Yarrowia lipolytica: one gene and its partner. The protein of the gene in region 2 interacts with the protein of the main gene of each other region in a pairwise test. Links are inferred from orthologs where the notes say so. Each region holds a gene or a part of one and is shown on either strand. Other genes may lie near its edges. The genes, in order: YALI1_A12302g and YALI1_D27867g.

Region 1 (9,695 bases), on a different chromosome or scaffold from region 2:
CACAAGCACCACATATTTATTGCATTACACGGTCTACAGGAATGGCTAGGATATATATAGGAAAGAATTATGAGAACATGTAGTGGGTAGTTTTGTAGTGAGTAGTTTTGGTAGTGTTTGGAGGTTGCCTATTGTGTGGCAAATTTCTGCGACATTTGAGATGCGGGTGAGTGGTAGTACGGTAAAGAGTGAGTGGGAGTAGGAGTGCGATTCGATTTGACATATGAGTGTACAATAGGAATGTACGATAGGGGCGTAGATACAAGTACAATGCGAGTATCTGTATGATATGAGTGTCTGTACGATACAAGTGCTGTATTGTACTGGGTCGTACATACTGTATCGTACTTGGTTGCTTGTAGCATGATCATTCAGTATCTACAAGTATAAGTACTTGGCTTACTCTCATACTTATACTAGGATACATCTTACACGACACTTTTTCTTCACTCTGTTTTTGCCGGTTCCTTCCTCCAGACACTCCAACAATGCCTCTGCGGATCTCGTGATCCCGTGATTGGTTACTCGTCCAGAATTCGATGTCCTTTTAGCACCGGGTGGATTGGTGCCGGGCTGGCTTGGTTCTCGGCTCAACTCGGCTCAAGTTGGTTGTCGGTCTCGACTTGGTTCGACTTAGTTCGACTTGGTACAACTCGGTTCGTGACTGTTCATTAAACGTGGCATGTTGTTGGAAGAAACGAACAGACCTGGGGCCGATATGGCATTACTGTGAAGAGTACAGTTGTGAAGAAGTCGTGCGACAGTTTCGAGTCATGTCTGACTGCTGCAACTTCCACGCACATTTGGAGCGTGGCATTCGTTTCTTGTCGTGTCTCGGGATTGACGCTTTTGTCATTGTTCGACCTTTTTCTCCTCCGGATCGTCCGCTAGATCGTTGGCAAGAGTTCGCCCTCTGGCACTTTCGACTCCATCGTCGGGGTGCCAGACTGGTGATGGCTGGATGATCCAGGACTGGGGGCAGCGGTTGAGTTGCTAAGAAACTGGACTGAACCAGAGTGTGGACCAGAAATGATACTGGAGCCGACTAGAGACTGGACACGAAAGGATACGAGATGGATCCGACTGTCGACTCCGACACCCACGAAAGCGAGATATCAGAGGCATGTTCCCACTGACCGCTGCTAAAGACTTGGTTGTCCCCCACTCATGAGTAACTGGAGATGATGAACGCACCACCCCCACCGAATCAAACAAGGTCCGAGAGTGAAACGGAAAGCTGCTCACTGACTGGAGGGACGGTTATAGGGGTCCTCATACGCTTCTTCTGCCATGATTACGAGGTCTCCACGATGATATCGTCAACCTCGTAAGATGAGAAACTTCGACTAGTGGATGACTGTATGGAGATTTCCCCTGTGATCAAACTGTTCCAATAGCCAGGAACCTCTCGAGTTTACCCTACAAGTCCTGCTTCCACTGTCATCGATGCACACCAAAGGATACAAAGGTGTCTGAAGCTCCTGTCAAATGTCAAATGAGATCGTGGGGTCTTGGGTCAGTGTCGTTTGGCAAAGTCCACCTTCAAGTACGTGTGGACCAAGAGACTTTGTTCAGAGAGCATCTAGACCAAATAATACCCTTCCAGAGACAACTTGATCCCCTCAACTTTCGGACTGTCGTATCCGAGGGACAAGGACAAGTCCGGTGCGAGCTGAAAGTCGACCAAGACTTCGCTTAGCGTCTGGAGATAATTATCATTGACACAAACCTGGACCTCGCATCCAACAAACATTGTGAGAACTGCGGGTGAAGTTCTTGCTTCTAGGTAAGTTACTCTTTTCACAACATTTCTTCGAAATCACAGCTGCCAGCAATTCCAGCTTTAACTGTCTGCAAAATGACCAAAGCTATACGATCAAGCGCCATGTCTGCCTTCTCTCCTGCTTGATCTTGTCTTTCTGCGACTACAGTACAACTACTACACACTCTTGTCGTACTCGGCAGACTCTCGTTGAAGAGTAACAGCACCTTAGAGCTTCCCCCTCTCTACAGATGCTCGCACTAGAACAGTGAGAGGTCAAAAGTTGATGAACCATTAGACCTGCTTCAACGGAGATTGACAAGAAGACGAAAGGATTTAGAACACTTGTCCATGACTGAATCTCCAACACCCTATACTCTACAATTAGGGAGAGATAACTCATCCTGAAGAGATGTCCGACCAAATATGGATACGGTCCTAGGAACATGTCTCAGGATCAGTATAATGGACGAAGGAGAATGGGCTTGAAGAAGGCGAACTGGTCAAGTCGGAACTTGCACTGTGTACTTGGTGGCAGAGACTTAGTTGGGGGTAGAGCTTGGTTACTTGTTGGTGGAGATTGGGTACGGTACAGTAGGTACTTGGTAGTAGAACTTGGGTGCTTGTTGGTAGACTGGATACTTGGTTGAACTAAAGCACCAAGAGTGCCAAAAGAGTGCTGAAACGCGAACGCCATACCGCACCTCGGCACCAACCCACCACCTACAGTTCACGGATAAAAATACACATACATCATTATGGATACATCAATTGGCAGGTCCCGGCATCTACTGCAGGTAAAGATGTCGCTTGGCAGCCATCTCAACGGCAGCAGCTCCCCAGTCCTCTCCGTGGTTGTGTCCATCAGGAGTGAGACCAGCTCGCTGAAGAGCCTGCTCCTCGGTCAGACAGGTGAGCACGCCGAAAATGACGGGGGTCTTGGTGGCGATCTGGGATTGCATGAGGCCCTGGGAAACGGCGTCGGCAATGTACTCAAAGTGCATGGTGGAGCCCTTGATGAGCACGCCGATGGAGATGACAGCGTCGTACTTGTGCGAGTCTGCCATCAGGTGGGTGATGTAGGGCAGCTCGTACGAGCCGGGCACAGACTCGATGAAAATGTTCTCTCGCTTGACCTTGAAGCCGCACAGAGAAGAGATGGTTCCGTCGAGCAGAGCCTTGATCACCTGCTCGTTCCATCGCGCGTGCACAATGGCGATCTTGAAGTCGGAGCCGTCGTAAATGGCGTCAGAAGCGCCAACACCCTTAATAGTACAGTCGGTCATTTTCAGTTGGTACAAAGTGCTGTGTGTGAGTGTGTGTTTTGGGGGTGGTGATGATGATACAGGGAGATCTGGGCCAACCCAATTGTAACCGCGTCTGCTGCATGACTGACAAATACCCGGGAGTTTGATTAGTCATCCAAAACGGCCCCGAAAACGGCCATTTTTCCGCCCAACCCTGTGTTTGGGCTCCAATGGCCAATAAACGAGTCGGATTTTTCGGTCTTTCCTCTCTCACACGCTCAGAACCACGATTATCGCTATCGACTGTTTTTTTCAGCTCCCATTTTTGTCTCAGGGTTAGGTTCGAGACATTCGTTTAGCCTCGGTCCTATGATCATCAGACTCAATTACAGTAATCTCAGAGATAAGAAAGAGCAACTGAGAGCGTGCTAGCTGTTGTCGCGCGCCGCTCAGGCTCCAAATGGCTGAGTAAGCCATCTCAGCCGTTTTCTCGGACCATTCCACCCGGCCTTACCCGCGAAACTTCATGCTCCAACATGGAACACTCTTGGCAGATTGTCCCGGCCTCCACCAAACACGACAAATGTACGCCCAGCCTCGCCGGACATTGTCATGAAACTCAATCCAACAATGCCATAGTTCGGTATCTTCCCGTGGCCTTCTTTCTGTGGCGATGGCTGACTGGCGGCAGCAAGTCGGAGACGAGACCTGCGCATACGATACCGTACAGCATGCACCAGACTCTGTACGGTGCAATACCGGCTCTGTACGGTGCAATACCGGCTCTGTACGGTGCAATACGGCTTTGTATGTACGGTTTTGAAGAGACTGAAACAGCGCCGGTTCAGGGACTCTGGGTACAATGAGACATGTTGCAGTGTTTGGGGTTTGAAACGAGTTGCGACATAGTACGAGTACAAGTACAAGTGCACATTTGCTCCAAGTTCTTGTACAAGTACAAACTTGTAGGACGTGAATGTCGATCTAACTGCGGGAAACGTATCGTGGCAACGGCTCAGCTTGTATAGTGTATGATACCTGGATGTACCGGTACAACTATGTACTGACCAGACTGTTCATCTTCACCACAGCAAAATGAGATTGCACACATCCTTCAGAATGAAACAATCAGTTGACATCTCTGGCATTCACATTCAAAAGCGCATATATGGACACCAGCTCGGAGTCAGGTCACGTGACCAGCAACCTTGTAGAGCCGTTCTGTTATTATACAAAAAAATTAAAAAATTAAAAATTAAAAAAATTAAAAAAAATGCGAGGTGAAATATTCGGGGGAAATAAAGTTTTTGTCAGGTGAAATTCAGAAAAACGAATCAACTGAGCTCACCGGTTCGTACGTCGGTTGAGAGTGTTGCTAACGACTCTGGAAGTCACAGATGACTGTTTTTCGAAGTGATCATCATATCATCGTATCAACTTTGGCACATGTTGGATCCGTTCGGGGAACCTCATCTGGCAACCTTATTTTCAATATATCTCCGTTATCAATGGGGAGTAGAGATATTGTAAATCTAACAACATTTTGGTATTTGCCAGGAGGTTAGGATTATTTTGATACCAATTTTGGACCAAATCGTCAGACCGTTGTATATCCAGCGCCATTTCTACCGTAATGTCGTATGTAAAACACGTCCCTAACCCCCGACGTTGAATTACCTTGAAAAACCTGACCCAACAGGCTGATTTGCATATCTACTACAGTAGCTGGACGCCACCAGCTCCGTGGTCCTGCTGACTAATCAAAAAGCCAAAACCCACATCAACCTTATCAAAATATTTTTTTCAGGCTGCAGGAAAATCTCGACTATTACGCACAAGATACACAACAACAACCATGAGCGAAATCAAGACAGTGACCGTGGAGAAGCCCGTGCCCGTGACGTACGATCTGGGCAACCTTGCAGTATTCGACACAAATCCCGTGGAGGTGGATCTAAACGACCTGAACGTGGACGGCCAGGCCCGAGAGGAGGCTCTCCAAGCCGTGTCTCGAGATAATGCCCAGCTGCTCATCAACCAGCTTCTGTCACAACCCATCAAGAACACCACGGACTCTAATTCGTCCAGCGGCAACCAGAACTCCACCATGTCTCTGATCATGCTGCCACAGCCGTCCACACGTCTCCCTCGAGAGAAGCCCATTCCCAAGCCCAAGGCCATGACCAAGTGGCAAGAGTTTGCTCTCAAGAAGGGCATCAAGTCCAAGGCCCGGGATGGCAAGCTTGTGTACGACGAGGCCACCGGCAAGTGGGTGCCCAAGTGGGGTTTCAACGGAAAGAACAAGGAGCTCGACCAGCAGTGGTGTGTTGAGGTGGACGATGGTAAGGGATCCAAGAAGAACCAGGAGGACGTTATGCTCGATCCTCGAGCTCTGGACCGAGCTTCTCGAAAGAAGCTGGTCAAGAAGAACCAGAAGCAGCATGAGCGAAACCTCAAGCGGGGCGTTTCGAAATAGGTGGAAAAATAGACTAATTATATTTTGATCATTAAGCGGGTAGGCGATAGCAGTTGTTTGGTGGATGTAACGTACTTGTACAAGTTCAATGCGGTAGTTATGACTGATCTAGCGGTGTATGTTGTCGTAGTTCAACCTCTGTGACTGAGGTTAGTTCTATCGAGTGTAGTTGACTGGGACTGACGACTGGAGATGTTGCTAATGCTTGAACGTTGACTGCGAGTGCGAGTACAGTACGGATACTTTGCACAATAGATGTATAGCCCACTCGAGTCGATTGTAGCAGTCATCTGTCTCGTAAACTGCTGGAGACCATCCAAACATGCATCTCTCAATCCAGAAGTAACAGAATAGCACGAACACGAACAGTACGAACAGTACCGATACTGGAAATCGTGTTTGTTGGTAACGTCTGGGATTGACACTCCGATCAAACGCCGTTATCCGGTAGTTCAAATCACTTGGTCGGCGTTCTGTGCAAAACTGCTTGTGCTGTACAACATACTTATCATCTGATAGTTCCACACAGTGGAAGGGGTGAATGTGGATTCTGACAAGACCATTCACATGATTGTTTTTCCATAGAATAGTTATCTTTCATCTCCGAAGACATGTCCCATGGAGAATGGTAGGCAGAGTTCTGGGTGAGAGAGAAAGACATCCAGATCTACCGTAATTCTTTAAATGTTGAGATCATTTTAATTAATAGGTTTTACTCTGGAAATAAATCTTTATCCTGTCAATTTTCAGCCCTTTTCTTCGTTTTTTCTCCGAATTTCCTCACTTTTCCCATTTATTCCAATTTCCCAACCTGATCATATATTTTTTCCAATCTCCACCAATTTTTTGATCCAATTTTTAGTCCACAATGACCCAATAATGGCCTAACAATGGCCTAAAAAGGACCCCCGACCCAATAATGACCCAATAATGACCCTAAAAATGACCCTAAAAATGACCTATAAAAATGACCTAAAAATGACCCAATAATCTAACTGTACCTCCCAATAGTGGATGTACTGTAAAGCAGTGCACAAGCGACAACAAAACACCTAATGACCACACAAAACAGGCTAGAATCGCGACTAGAGGACCGTTTTCCGTCAAATTTCGAGCACAGAACCAACCGAGTATTTCCAACGCCACCAAAAACCAACATGTCCTAAAATATTACGAAAAACAATGGCGGAAATCATTGCTGATACCCAGACGAACCCCGCATATTTTTTTATTTTTTTTCTGCAATATACTTCATATTAAATTATAACTTTGCTGTTGAAAGGAATAAACCTTTGAAATGAATGTAACGCTTACACGAATATTACTAATTAAACACGTTTTAGTGTCATGGTTCCAACTTGGCCACGTAACTATTTCCAGTAAAAAAATCATAAAAAAACCTGTCGTTCAGTTCCGTGTTTGTATGTTGGTCCACATAGCTTCGCGTGTTTGTTCGTTCATCGGGAAAACGCCACTCCAGTCTCCAGTTCTCTAATCTCAATCCTTCCATTGCCCTCTTCGTTTGCATTGCCTTTGAAAACGTCTCCTTGTGGTTCTTCTTCGTCATTGGTTTGGTTCTGCGTCCCCTGTGGTGTGACTACGCGCCCTGCTACTGCTCTTTTCTTCGGGTGGCCTCGGCCGCCTTTTACGCTTGCTACTTCTTATTGCCACCCTAACGATTAACCTACAAGTGCAGTATCACTGACTATCATTACCAGGGCTTTTACTGTTCACACCCACACTACAGTTCAGGTTATCCCCTCATATAGCTATACCCTGAGTACCGGAGGGGATCTCTCCATCTTCCAGATCCCATAAGCCAATTCCCGCAGATATTTGCGTGTCTTGGCATATATTGGAATGTTTTAGTTTGGGATGTGTAAATAAATACAATAATAGCCTTTTCGAGCTTCAATGGTAGATGTATAATTGAGGAGATTGGACGCTGCAAATGGACGGAAAAAGGAAATTTCGAGCTACAAATAACGCTGAAACTGGTTATGTAAGCTATATGCGTCGTTTGTCTGTCATATTCCTGTCTCAATGATCTGTTTTCACGACGTTATCGTCCTGCCCCCATTTTAATACCCAAACAAAGACCCGAACCCAATACTTTATTCACCACAGCCTTTCGAATATAAATAGGCGTCCAGTCCCAGTTTTTTGGCGGCACCTTTGACCACGCGTGTCATCGTGTCCCTTGGGGGCAACCCCTCCATTGAACCCTGCGAAAGCAGTTTTTTTTTTTTTGATTCGCATCCGAAATCAAACAGACCGGCTCCGGCCAACCCCAGAAACGGCTCGGCCAACCCCAGAAACGGCTCCGGGCCAACCCCAGAAAACGGCTCCGGCCAACCCCAGAAACGGCTCCGGCCACGAACCCCAAGAAACGGCTCCGGCCACGAACCCCCAAAAAACGGCTCCGGCCAACGAACCCCAAAAACGGCTCCGGCCATGAACCCCAAAAAACGGCTCCGGCCACAAACCGATAGTCATTCAGTTGATCTGTCAAAACGATAGGGTGTGAGCGCTACCTCAAAAGCCAAAAATCGCTACCCAAGTGCAAGTTAAGATGTGGTTTGATAGCTCGGGTGATTAAGTCTTCGATCAGGTTTTCTAGGTGTCCCTGTTAAAACCCCTAGGATGATTTTTAGTTGTCAAACGTCTTAAAATGCGGCTGTCCTGATGGAGACTACGTGATTATGACTAGCGTCGAAACACTTACCATCGAGAGAAGATGGTGGTGTAGACAGCCCCTAGTCTTACATAGTAATATATTGTACGAGTACCAGTTCCAAAGTACAAGTAGTTCACTCGGTGTTGTTCTGAAATTGTATAATTCAGAGTCGTGCAGACAAGTGCATCATTGCATAACTAAGAAGTCGAACTGTTTCTACACTCCATGGGTTTTGCCTTGAACTCGCAATATCAGATATCCGCCCTTTCACATGGTCTCGTTGATATGGCTCCGTTGACCCGTATAATATCCAATACAATCGTGTTTCACATCATGTACAGTACATACCCCTATTATACAACGAATGACAATAAATAAATAAATAAAAAGGTCTAAGGACTATGCAGTCGCCTCCTCGGGCTCCTTGCCCTTATCTTGAGGAATGGCAGGAAGAGGAGCCTTTTTGTACTCGCGAAGAACAGCAGTAGTGACGGTTCCATTGAGCATCACCGCCTGACCAACAATAGCAACATCGCCGTCAATGTTGATGGTCTCAGCAATAGGAGACTTGGGCTCGATCTGGCTCTCGGTGGTGCTGGTGGAGACCACAGAAGTGCATTTTCGCCGACGCGAGTGATCCGAATGGTCCTCCGCATCAGTATGCTCCATGTCAGTGTTCTCCGAGAACTCAAACGAAGATCTGGGCGGAGACGCAGAAGTGGCAGAATCATCTTCCACGTCACTGTCCACATCTCCAATGCCTCCTCCGCAGTACATGATACCATTGATCTGGTTTTCAAGAGACTCGTCAGAAATGTTGTCGTGAGAGTACATTCGAGAAGGAAAGAGGCCAGCGGGATAGCTGGATGAGGTAGGAGACACGGCCTCTTGACGGCGGACCTCGATAGCCTCGTATGTGTAGACGCCGTTACCCTCCATGCCATACCAAAGTTCAGGGGTATGTTTGACCAGAGTTTCAAGCACAGACGATCTAATTCTAAGAGAGGGGGCCAAAATGCGGGCTAGCGTCGACAGCGTCATTTTGTTGGTCTCGTGGTGGTTGGACACGTCCTGGATGTGTGTACACAGAGTCCTCAGTACAACAATGGACTGTTTGGGCAGCTTTCCGAGCGCAGTCTTGACCACAGATACCAGCACCTTGGGCTGTGTCTCCTGGTAGGGGTTGGGGAAGAGGTCGTCAGGCAGTTGTCGTAGAAAGTTCTTGAGAAACGAGGTTAGAGTGTGAACATCGTAGTCGCCCAAGTCACATAGGGGCCCGTTGTCGGTGAAGCATCTTCGGAGCTGTTCGATTTTCTGGGCGCTGGCATTCAGCTTGTAGACCCCGATCTCGGTGAGATTGTTGTTGATCTCGCGAATGCATCGAAACAGCACCAGAGGAAGGTACTCCAGGTCTCGGGTGGCGCAGATCTGGTGGACAATCTTCTTTTCCTCCACGGTTTTGCAGCCGTAGCCGTACTGGCGTCTGTAGGAGCTGTCGAGGCTGCTCAGCTTGACCAAGGACAGGCCCGTGTA
Region 2 (10,110 bases):
ATTGAGCGAGATGAATGGTGTGATGTGTTTCGGAGGTTCTGCACTATTTACTCTGCATGCAGATGGCGTGGGGTGAGAAAGAGGGATGAGGACCGACCAGCTTAGAGGAACTTTTTTTTCATCAGATTTTTGCACAATGTTTATAGGATTCTTTGCAATTGATTTCCGGAGTTTCGGTCCTCTGGAAGCACAATTGGTGTCGTAGGGCCATCTAGATATCCAAGCACCATGCAAGCCACCAGTGCTACTACTCGTAGTTATTCAGACATGTTGCTTCACTGATATACACCGTAGTGGTGTATATTTATTCTCTCTTGTAATATTACAAGCCAGAATACAATTCACAGTGTATTACTAGTAGTATTCTATTTGATTTGATTTGGGGCTATATGTTTTATGTTGATTATGCTGGTTTCTATGCGGATTTTCACAGTTGATTAATGTTTGTTGTTTTTTGTTGGGTTTTGTTAGAACGTCTGTCTCTTTCTGACCAGTCTTCGTCTTACACTTGACATCTACTTAGCTGGACACTAAACGTCAACAAAAGCAGATCTCGCTCGCAGGCCAGGCCCCCATTTGAAAATGAACCACGGCACAGCGCACATTGCGGTCGTGATGAAGCCCAGAATGAAACACAGCTTGGCAAAAGAGACCCGCTCGATGGCCGCCATGCCGATAAATGGCAAGACGCCGGCGAAAATGGACCGCAGAAACGTCAGAGCAGACACAGCTGAGGCCGAGTACTCCGAGTGGATGTCAACAACGTAGTTGAGGGTGGACTGGAAAATGGTGAAGAATCCGATACCGAGGAACAGAAGCAGCACGACCGAAATTGCCCAGGTCTTGTCAAAGAAGAAGTAACACAGAAAGCATCCAATAGGAGGGAACAGGGACCCCGGCAGCATGATCAGGAGCCGCTTTTCGGGCTCCTTATTGCTTCCTCCGTGCTTCTTGAGCATCCGGTTGAAGTACCAGATTGACCAGACGATACCTCCAGAGGCGCATATGAGGCCGGCAATGAAGTTGAGGTTGATCCAGGCCGCTCGGTCTCGGGTCCAGTTGTGTTCCTTGACGACTGCGTTGGGCACCAGCGAGATGGCCATGTACATGAGTCCGAACATCATGGCGGCGTACATCTGCAGCGGCAGCATGACCGGGGTGAGCATGATTTGGTAGGGTCTCAACAGGTTCTTGACTGAGAAACCACGGGCATGGCCTCCGAGGTCTCGTTCTGTCACCAGGTTTCTCAGTCCGCCGGCATCCAGACTGAAGTTCCGCACAATCTTTTGCAGAATCACAGGGGCGTAAGTCTCGGGCATGAAGATGAGGTTGGAGGTGCAAATGATGAGTTGGTAGATACCGGCCACGAGCGACAAGTGTCTGAAGTCGCCGGTCCACTTGATGACCTGAGAGCCGAGAATGGGACCCATGGCTGGGCCGCCAGCGACAATAATGGCGTACAGAAGCAACACGTACGGCCGTCGCTCGGGCTTGAACATATCCTTGAGAGCTCCTCCGGACGACAGGATGGGAGGCGAAGACAGAGCTCCAGAGAGGAATCGCAGTACCATAAAGGTGGGGAAGGAGGTGACGGAGACGGTCAGAAAGGTGAAGATGAGCGAGACGAAGAAGGGCCAGAAGACGCCAATCTTCCGGCCAAATGACTCGGTCATGGGCGCGCAGAACATGGGCCCAACAGCAATACCCATCATGTAGACGGTGGTACTGAGCATGGCGACATCTTTACCGACTCCAAACATCTCTTCGATCTTTGCAACGGCTGGTCCGTACATGGAGCTGCACATTTGCGGGCCAATAGCAGATAGGGCCTGGGAAGCAACAACCAGGTACTTTTTGTAGTTGGGCCAGTTGAATGGGTACCTGGGGTCGTTCTCTGTGTCCCACTGGACAATATATGTGACACAGTTAGACCGTCGACATCGTTCTCGAAAGTGTTCTTGAGAGCTCTGGGAAGATGTTATGGAAGTCGAGAGAATGATTCCCGAGTCTCCCGCGTAGATCTGGTCCGTCTGGGTAGCGCGTGTGGTCTTTCCATCGACTGTGGAGGCGTCATCGGAGGACCTGGAGGATGAGATCCGGGTTGTTGATGAGTTGAGCGACGACTCAGACGAGTAAGTCGATGAGTGGGGCACGGCTCTCAGTCTGGCTACCTCTGGAGGCGTTGGACTTGGAGTGTCCATCCTATGACCCCTCGTACTTGTCAGAGACGCCAGTGGCAGAGTTGTCGGCGGATCCTTCTTGAGGCGAAACAGGTTCACAAACGAGTTGAAGGTCGACTGGGTCTGATAGCCATTAGGAGACTCGTCTGGGAGAGCATATCGAGAGGTGGAGCTTTTGGGTGCCTCTTCTTCAAAGTCGTTGTTAGGACTTTGGTTAGAAGAGCTGCTCATAAACAACTCACTTGGAGAGATCGGGACAGACTGGGGCTCGCCAAAGAGGTCGTCGGCAGTAATGGGATCGTCAGAACCGCAAGCGGTGGAGACATAGACGGGCTTGGAGGAAGAGGCCTCGGAAAAAGAGGCTTCGGAAATGGAGGACAGGCCCTGGCATTCGGAAGAGACGGAAGACATGGTAGACTCGAAAGGGAAATTTTGGGAATCCTCCACTCGGAAAACACTCGGGTTTATGTACCATCTTGACAGTTAGGACTCTCCCTCACCAGTACCGACCATAAATTTTGGACTACTCGACCAAACTGCAGTTTATGCTGTTCTGGGGATGTCAACTTGGAAGAGGTAAGTAGGGGGGGAAATTGTGGGGGACAATGTGGGCAGGAAGCGCCAAAAGTGACAATTCAAGGGCGGTTTTTTTGTCTACTGAACTGTTGGTCTTCTCTACTCACCGCTATGGTCTTTTGACGGTTACTCTACGTCTCCAACATCATCATTGGCGTCGGACAAACATTCTCTCCTGCTCACTAATCTATGTAAGGAATAGAGAGTATAGGCAAAAAGAAAGGATTTATGGAGATAGGGAATAAACACGAGTGGAGAGAAGTTTGTGAGCTGTGCAAAATTTTAGCCAATCCATATATCATCTAGAGACGAGACCCCTGAATGTGTTACGAGTGCGGAAACGACCCCAAAACAACACCAGAATTAGCAAAAGGACTAAAAAGGATCCATGTGCATTGTTAAGACGCTTCATATGATTCCTACTTGGTCCTTTTGCTCCATATTAGAGCTTCCACTCTCCCACCCTTGCACTTGTAGACCCATACATCATTGTTTAGTATGGTGGAGAGTACAATGGAGGCTGGCATAGTGGCAAGCCATGTCCACCTTGGGGCTGTAGTCGGGTAACTATTGCGTCATTCTGTCGTCCATTAGTGCTATAATACCAAAGCACAAGTAGTGCACAATACCTGATTCAGCTCTCGTGAGTTTTCAGCTCATAGCGTTGTCAACTGGCAGTGTTGGGCGTTCCGCGGTCATAGAACCGATTAGAATGGGGGAAAAGAAGGGAAGCCAGAGTTATTGTTCTTGGTGCCATGTTATCGATTGCTTTTCCCCGTCAAAAATCACTGCTGTCAGATTCGGATCATATACACACGCCAAACAAGATGCATAAGTAGACGTCAAATGCAAGTACTTGTACTTGTACTAAAGGGAAACTAGTTGAGCAGTTTGTTTAGGTTCAAAAAAAGCAGATCACAACCGACCCATTACTTGTCGTGGTAAGATGAAAATTAATATACGAGATCATGACAGTCATACCACGGTATATATGAAACCATGGCTCTTTTCCACGACGTTTCCACGACTTTGTAACCCCTTCTCAACCACCTTACATTTCCCTTCCGACTGACCAAAAGTTAATCAAATTTACCTCCCAGTTGCCGACGATGAGCCGATAAAAACGGACATGTTGAGGAGTGAGATACAAATAGCCCTGAGAGAGCCGGTTACAGCGGCGTTTTCCAATTTATTAGAACACCCATGCTACCACTCTACAGCTCCCCATACAGTCTCAATCGAAAAACAGTCGTCAGGTGTCATTACACGTTACGGAAGTTGCCGCTTTTATGTCTACAGATTCATCATGTCATAACTTATTTGGCAAAGTGGGCAAGAGCCTCAAGAACCTCGAGCTCAATCTCGGCCTCAGCAGCAACAGCCTCGTCAGCAGACTGGGCGTTCTTCTGGGCCTCGGCGGTCAGAGACTTGATGGCCTCGGGGGAGAAGTCCTCAGCCTGGAAAGCCTCAATGGAGTTGACGGACAGCTCGGAGTCGGGCTGAACGGTAGCGAAACCACCGGAGATGAAGTAAGACTTGGTCTCACCGTTAGTCTCAATGACCTCGACAACACCAGGCTTGAGCTGCTGGATGGTGGGAACGTGGTTAGCCAGAATACCGAGCTCACCAGCGGTGGAAGGGATGTTGACCTGGGTCACCTCCTTCTGGTTGTAGATGGACTGAGTTAGTATGAGGTTCGTCCAGTTTTGTGACCTTGTGTGATCGGACATCGCGACTGGAACATACTGGCGCCTGGGGTCGACAGCAACAGAGCCAAAAGGGAATGCTGGGTATCACAACATTTGAGGAGCTTCAATTCGCGAGTGGTTCATTGTACATTGGGTGGTTGGTACGGTGTCGTGATGTGAGGTGATGTCTCCCGCGTTTCCTTGTGCTTCCGGCAGTGGCGTGGATCATGAGCACAAACAAGGTCAATTGACCAGTCGGCTGCCTGCGACCCAATTCCACCACCATGCAGAGTCCACGCGCCACGCCACGCCATGCCATGCCAAGTCACGTTCCTTCCCTCCCACCACCACCGCATCACACAGACTTGACCGGTCTGTATAACTCGGTACACCGAATAAACCACGCTACTATATGTCCTCTGTCCCAGTCAATTCGCATTGCAGCCTCAATTGTGTCGTCATTTTCTACCAATTGTCTCGGTTCCTCAGTGTCGCTGGACGTTCTCAGTCGCCTGTGTCATCCCGTCCTCCATGTCGTTAGCACATCACCACATTACTCACCTCGTGGGGAAGAGCGAGAGTCAGTCGAAGCTTGTCGACGGAAGCAGTCTCGGCGTAACCTCGTCGAGCAATTCGCACGGCGGGTCGGGCAGCACCCCGGATGGCGGTTCGAGCAACAGAAAACATTGTGTTGTTGTTAGTGCAAGGTGTCGTGTTGAAAGTGGGAGTATTTTCAACGTGGTGGGTTTTGAGAGAAAAGGTTGTGGCCAATCAGCGGCGGAATCGTGAGCAACCCTAGCCCTCTTCCCAAGTCCGAAACTCTAAACACAGGCGCAACGATCTGGTTCTAGGTGCTAGGTGCAATTGACTCTCAACTGTCCCAACCCAAAATCAACAGAGCATGTGGAGCGGAGCTGGCTAGAAGGGTCTGGTAAGGAGGACCTTTGGGGAGAAATGAGTGGATATTATCACACTAAACTATTCCCCTAGCCATGGGGAATATAATGGTACTATTTTCTTCTGAATCGGATCTCTCAATCACTGGATGTAGAGACATCTGATACATACTTGTTCTGGTCACTACTGGAAGTACAGTATGTACGTGCATACTTGTAACACACATGCTCATATGGGCATACTTGTTTGAGTATGTACAGTACAGTACGAGTACGACTTGTACCATGGTGCGAATTTCCAAGCTCAAGCTGACATTTCTCATACTTGTTCTCACATTGAAGATACGCCGTTGAGGTAAGATCGATCTGATCATGTACGCCTTCAAAGCCTATGAGTCTCATTCATGACAACATGAACGCTGGAATGTGAGCTTTGAGGAGGGTAACAACACACTTTGATGGGCTTGGATGGGCTTGAATGGGCTTGGAAGAGTACGAGTCTTCCAAGCAACACCTCAGGGGCTTCCAACCGTCATTGTTATTCGACGATTATATTCACCACAACCGAGATTCGAACAAACAAGCTCCCAACTCCCAGAGACAAGCAGACGCAGAAATTAGATTGTCGTTCATTAATGGAGCAGAGGGTTTATGATAAACAGTTACACCCAAGACTCACGATCGCTCCAAGAAGATATATTTGACCTGACGCAAACAGAACGGCCCAGCAGACACAAACTTGCTCCACTCCGACCCACACAACTTTCTACACTCCGACCCACACAACTTTTCACAGGTCTCTACCCTGGCACAAGTACAGTGAGACCCTCATAACTAACGACTCCTAATGGAAGAACAAATCCAGCAAACCACAAAACAGGTGCTCGTGGGGGCTGGCCACCTTCTGGCGTTTCTTAGTCAACAGGGCGTGCCCATGAAACCTCTCCCCAACCCTCCCACGCTGCTGCAGTCGCAAATGGACAAGTCTGTGGCCGGCTTCAACTCTGCATTGGACCACATGAGTGTCAACATTGAGTCAGCTCTGGAGTTTCTGGAGCTCGAAAAGCACCGGCTAGGGCTGGTTCAGAATGAAAAGGTCAAGACCGAGTCCGAGCCCGAGGTGACCGTGAAGACGGAGCCTGCGGAAACGGAAGACTCCAAGGAGTTCACCATCGATGGCATGGACGCATCACACGCCATTGACCTAGACGGCGCATTCGACGACTTTGGCAGCAACGACGTGGATATCAACGCCATGCTAGGCGATGGCAAGGACGGAAACAAGGACGGAATCATGATGGACGACGAGCTGTCCAACCTCCTGGCGGATGGAGAAAACGGAGGCGGAAACAACGCAGGCAACACTACGGGAATCGCAGACGACGATATGGAGGGGCTGTTTGGGGACGGCTTTGATTTCGTCTCGTATGATCAATAAGTCAGGTTCTGACGGTGATCCGATGTCGTCTATTGACGGTTTTATTTATTTATATACATTGTGAATTATAGAAGGCAAACGTACAGGCACTGTACTTGTTCGAGTATGTACAGTACAGTGCTTGTAACTTGGTACATAACTGTAGACTGAGAACGAAGCCACTGTCGATACGGAAAGACCCGACTATTCCATACACTGACAGCCACCTGCCACGGCATTCATCGAGACATGTCTTACACCTTGAGCATCCATCCATCCGTTCATGGTAGACGATCAGGGAGATGACTTGTTGGAGAAATTTAGTCACAATACAACTGTACTTATAATCCCGCTTCTGACTACAATTGCCAGAGATCATTACTTGTACTTGTTGCTTCAGTAATGGAGGATCTACTCCAATGACAGTCAAATAACTTAGTGTATTGGCTATACAGGTTCCGGTGATGAAGGGGAGCATTTTCGGTCCAACGAGGAGCATGAAAGGTGCGAAGAATACCATCAACAAGTGGGCAAGACTTGAAGAATGGAAACAGAAGCTTTTGTGTTGTATGATTGAAGCTGTACCTCAGACAAGGAAGTCAGATGAAGCTGACCTGATGGTTGGTCACAGTTAGACAAATACAGGCAGCTTTCAGAAAAACTGCTAGGATAGCCTCAAAAGAACACAGCTCGGAGGAGGCTGTCCGACATGCGCTTCAAACACAGCTATTTCGTCACCCTGCCTTTGTCACTTATCGCAATTTCACCACCATCACAGTCAAATTATCTGTGCTAAAGTTCTCCAGAGCAAACTCCACCAGTATTCGGCTTCCCTCAACAGGATCTTCTAGTCCACTCACCAGATCACAAGCCTTCTGATCATCACAAACGTCCCACAGTCCGTCACAAGCCACAATCAGAAACTCGTCATCAGCAATGATTTCCGTCTCGGTCGTGTATGGGTTACCAATAATAAACTGCTTCATATACGTGTCTCCCAGAGCACGGGTAACAGCAAGCATTCCGTTGACCCGATTGCTGATCATCATTCCGCCGTTGTTGGTGACTCGTTTAGACTCATGGAGATCGGTGCCCTTGTGATCGTAGCTCAGCCTAAGGGCCTTGCCTGCTCGACACAAAATCAACCGAGTGTCTCCCACGTTGGCAGTGTACAGCTTGCGCTTGCACTCGGACAATGGAGCACGGGGAAACACGGGAGTGTAGTCCTTGGGTGAGTGATCAGAAGACACCGTCACGGGCTTTCCTCGAGAATCCTCCCATCTCAACAGAGCCACTGCTGCTGTGCATCCGGAATTCAGGTTCTTCTGCTCAATTGACCGGTCAATGGCCATGAAGGCAAGATTAAGCAGCTCTGGCACAGTCTTCGAGCTCTTGTCATTGTCCTGGTGCTCCAGCCCCTCCTCCTGCACGACTTCAGGGTCTTCGGTTGCAGAGTCTTCGCTTTTGAATCCCTCAGACTCCATAATCAGACTTTCCACCTCACTGACAACTGCCGTTGCGCAGTACTCAGCCGCTTGTTTGCCCGCATGTCCGTCAAATACTGCAAACAGCCCCGAATCGGGCGTGCCGCAAATGTTGTGTGCAGCCACATGATAATCCTCCATGGTCCGTCTACACCGCGAGTTTTTGTCCTCCGTAACGCCCACAGCAAACGATGACAGTGGCGAGTCGGTCACAGGCAGCCCGTTGTTGTTGGCCAGCATCGGATGGCCTTTGGCTTCATCTTTACTGTTTCGTCGAAATAGCTTGAGCATCGTTAGTATCGTGCGTTATTGTGTGTGTGTGTGTGTGTGTGTGTCTGCTGTTCCCGTCTGGTTTGCGTGGAGTTTCACGCGGCTTCTGAAATTGATCTGTCACGTGCTTTCGTTCGGTCGTGGGTCACGTGATCGCCTGGTTGCTGTTGTCGTAGATACCACTGCTTTTTCGACGTTCCGTCCACGTCTCTCTATCTCGTGTATGTGGAGACACACCACTCACCCCACAGTGCAAGGAAGTGGCAAAGGCTTATTTGTGGTAGGGTTAGGGTTTTTCGGACATTGGCGACCGAATGGGAATTGTTCTTCTCGAGTGCTTGTAGGTGAGTGAGACCGGGTCGACGGTGACAAAAGTGAGCATCCCCATTTTGTGTGTATTTCCCTTGAGTGAGGCGGCAGATGTGGCTTACTAAGTGGTGGTTTTTGGGTTCAACAACGGAGTTAAGAAATTTCACTTGAAGATTAAGTAGAGTCTAGTGAGGGAGGTGGTAAAGGAAGGTGTATAGTGCAAGTGGATTTGGAGGCTATAAAAGAACAGGGAAACAATTGTTAGGGTTTATTTGCCGTGGTGAACAAGTTGGGCTTCTTTGAATCGTGATTGTAGCACTAGTGCGATTTGTAGTCTGGCTTCAGTTTATGTGGAGCCTTCCGGAGTTAACTAAAGCCAACTGTGAAACAGGGGTTGATCTGAAACACAACAATTGACTGTAAGGGAAGTTGAGACGGAGGGGTGGGGAACCAATCAGATGATTATTTGTAAGTGGGATTGAATGATACATTATCTTGCGTAGGATTCTAGAAGAAATCTCTGGACTGAGCTTGTGTCTGGTTCTTATATTTAGCAGCTGATATCTGCACACGTCGCTGCTATCTACAAACGTGTGGAATCCAATTCGTCTCACAGAGATGCTAGGAAGATGAGAAGTTGATAGTTCAGTTCATCAGAGCTAGGACAACAGAGTAATATTAATTTTGACATTGTTTCATCACTTTACCCTGTTTATCACTACATGTTTTATAACTACAGTATGTACTGTACCATGTTCATACCATGTTTGATAACTACCATGTTCATCACTTTACCATAGTTGAAAGTGGAATCACGGTAAGGGTTCCATAATCCACAAGAGTAGTATAAAACAGAGTATACAACAGATAGAATACCGTTTAGTCTGTTATATGGCCCATCGTTGGATTCATATTGGTGTTATATATCCGTTTAGCACTATGACGCTTCATCTCAGTCTCACAACCCTCAACTGTACTGGTTACAAACCCAAGTAAAATGTAACTAAATTTAGGTGGTGGTGACTGCAGAAAACTTCATTGGAGAAGTCTGGAAAAGACACAGACCAAACTAGACTTGGGTATTACTTCAACATTACAACAATAGCTATCAATTGTCACACAAATATTCTCATTATAACCCGCTCAAATCTCTCCAAATATCGGTTCAAATAAGGTTTCGAGACCAACCTTATCTCTCACCAGATTTAAAATCATCATCTACTGGCTCAAACAGCTGCGCAAGAGAATAAACAAGTTGACAGACATTTTTTGTGCCTCGCTTAGTATTGG

What was found.
Region 1: the proteins of YALI1_D27867g (region 2) and YALI1_A12302g interact in a two-hybrid assay, tested with the Schizosaccharomyces pombe proteins (2 studies listed by BioGRID). The link is inferred for Yarrowia lipolytica from reciprocal best matches to the Schizosaccharomyces pombe genes ptc1 and rrs1.

What each region holds. Positions count from the first base shown.
Region 1 is NC_090770.1:1,225,406-1,235,100, forward strand, and holds YALI1_A12302g (uncharacterized protein), read left to right. Parts: upstream 1-4,864; coding exon 4,865-5,485; downstream 5,486-9,695. Other genes in the region: YALI1_A12284g (uncharacterized protein), read right to left, coding at 2,551-3,048; YALI1_A12294g (uncharacterized protein), read right to left, coding at 3,534-4,047, 4,096-4,157; YALI1_A12356g (uncharacterized protein), read right to left, coding at 8,562-9,695.
Region 2 is NC_090773.1:2,778,166-2,788,275, forward strand, and holds YALI1_D27867g (uncharacterized protein), read right to left. Parts: upstream 8,533-10,110; coding exon 7,510-8,532; downstream 1-7,509. Other genes in the region: YALI1_D27808g (uncharacterized protein), read right to left, coding at 531-2,591; YALI1_D27826g (uncharacterized protein), read right to left, coding at 4,073-4,435, 5,006-5,131; YALI1_D27844g (uncharacterized protein), read left to right, coding at 6,188-6,778. UniProt on the Schizosaccharomyces pombe protein: Serine and threonine phosphatase. Has a specialized role in the heat shock response. May be responsible for the dephosphorylation of hsp90.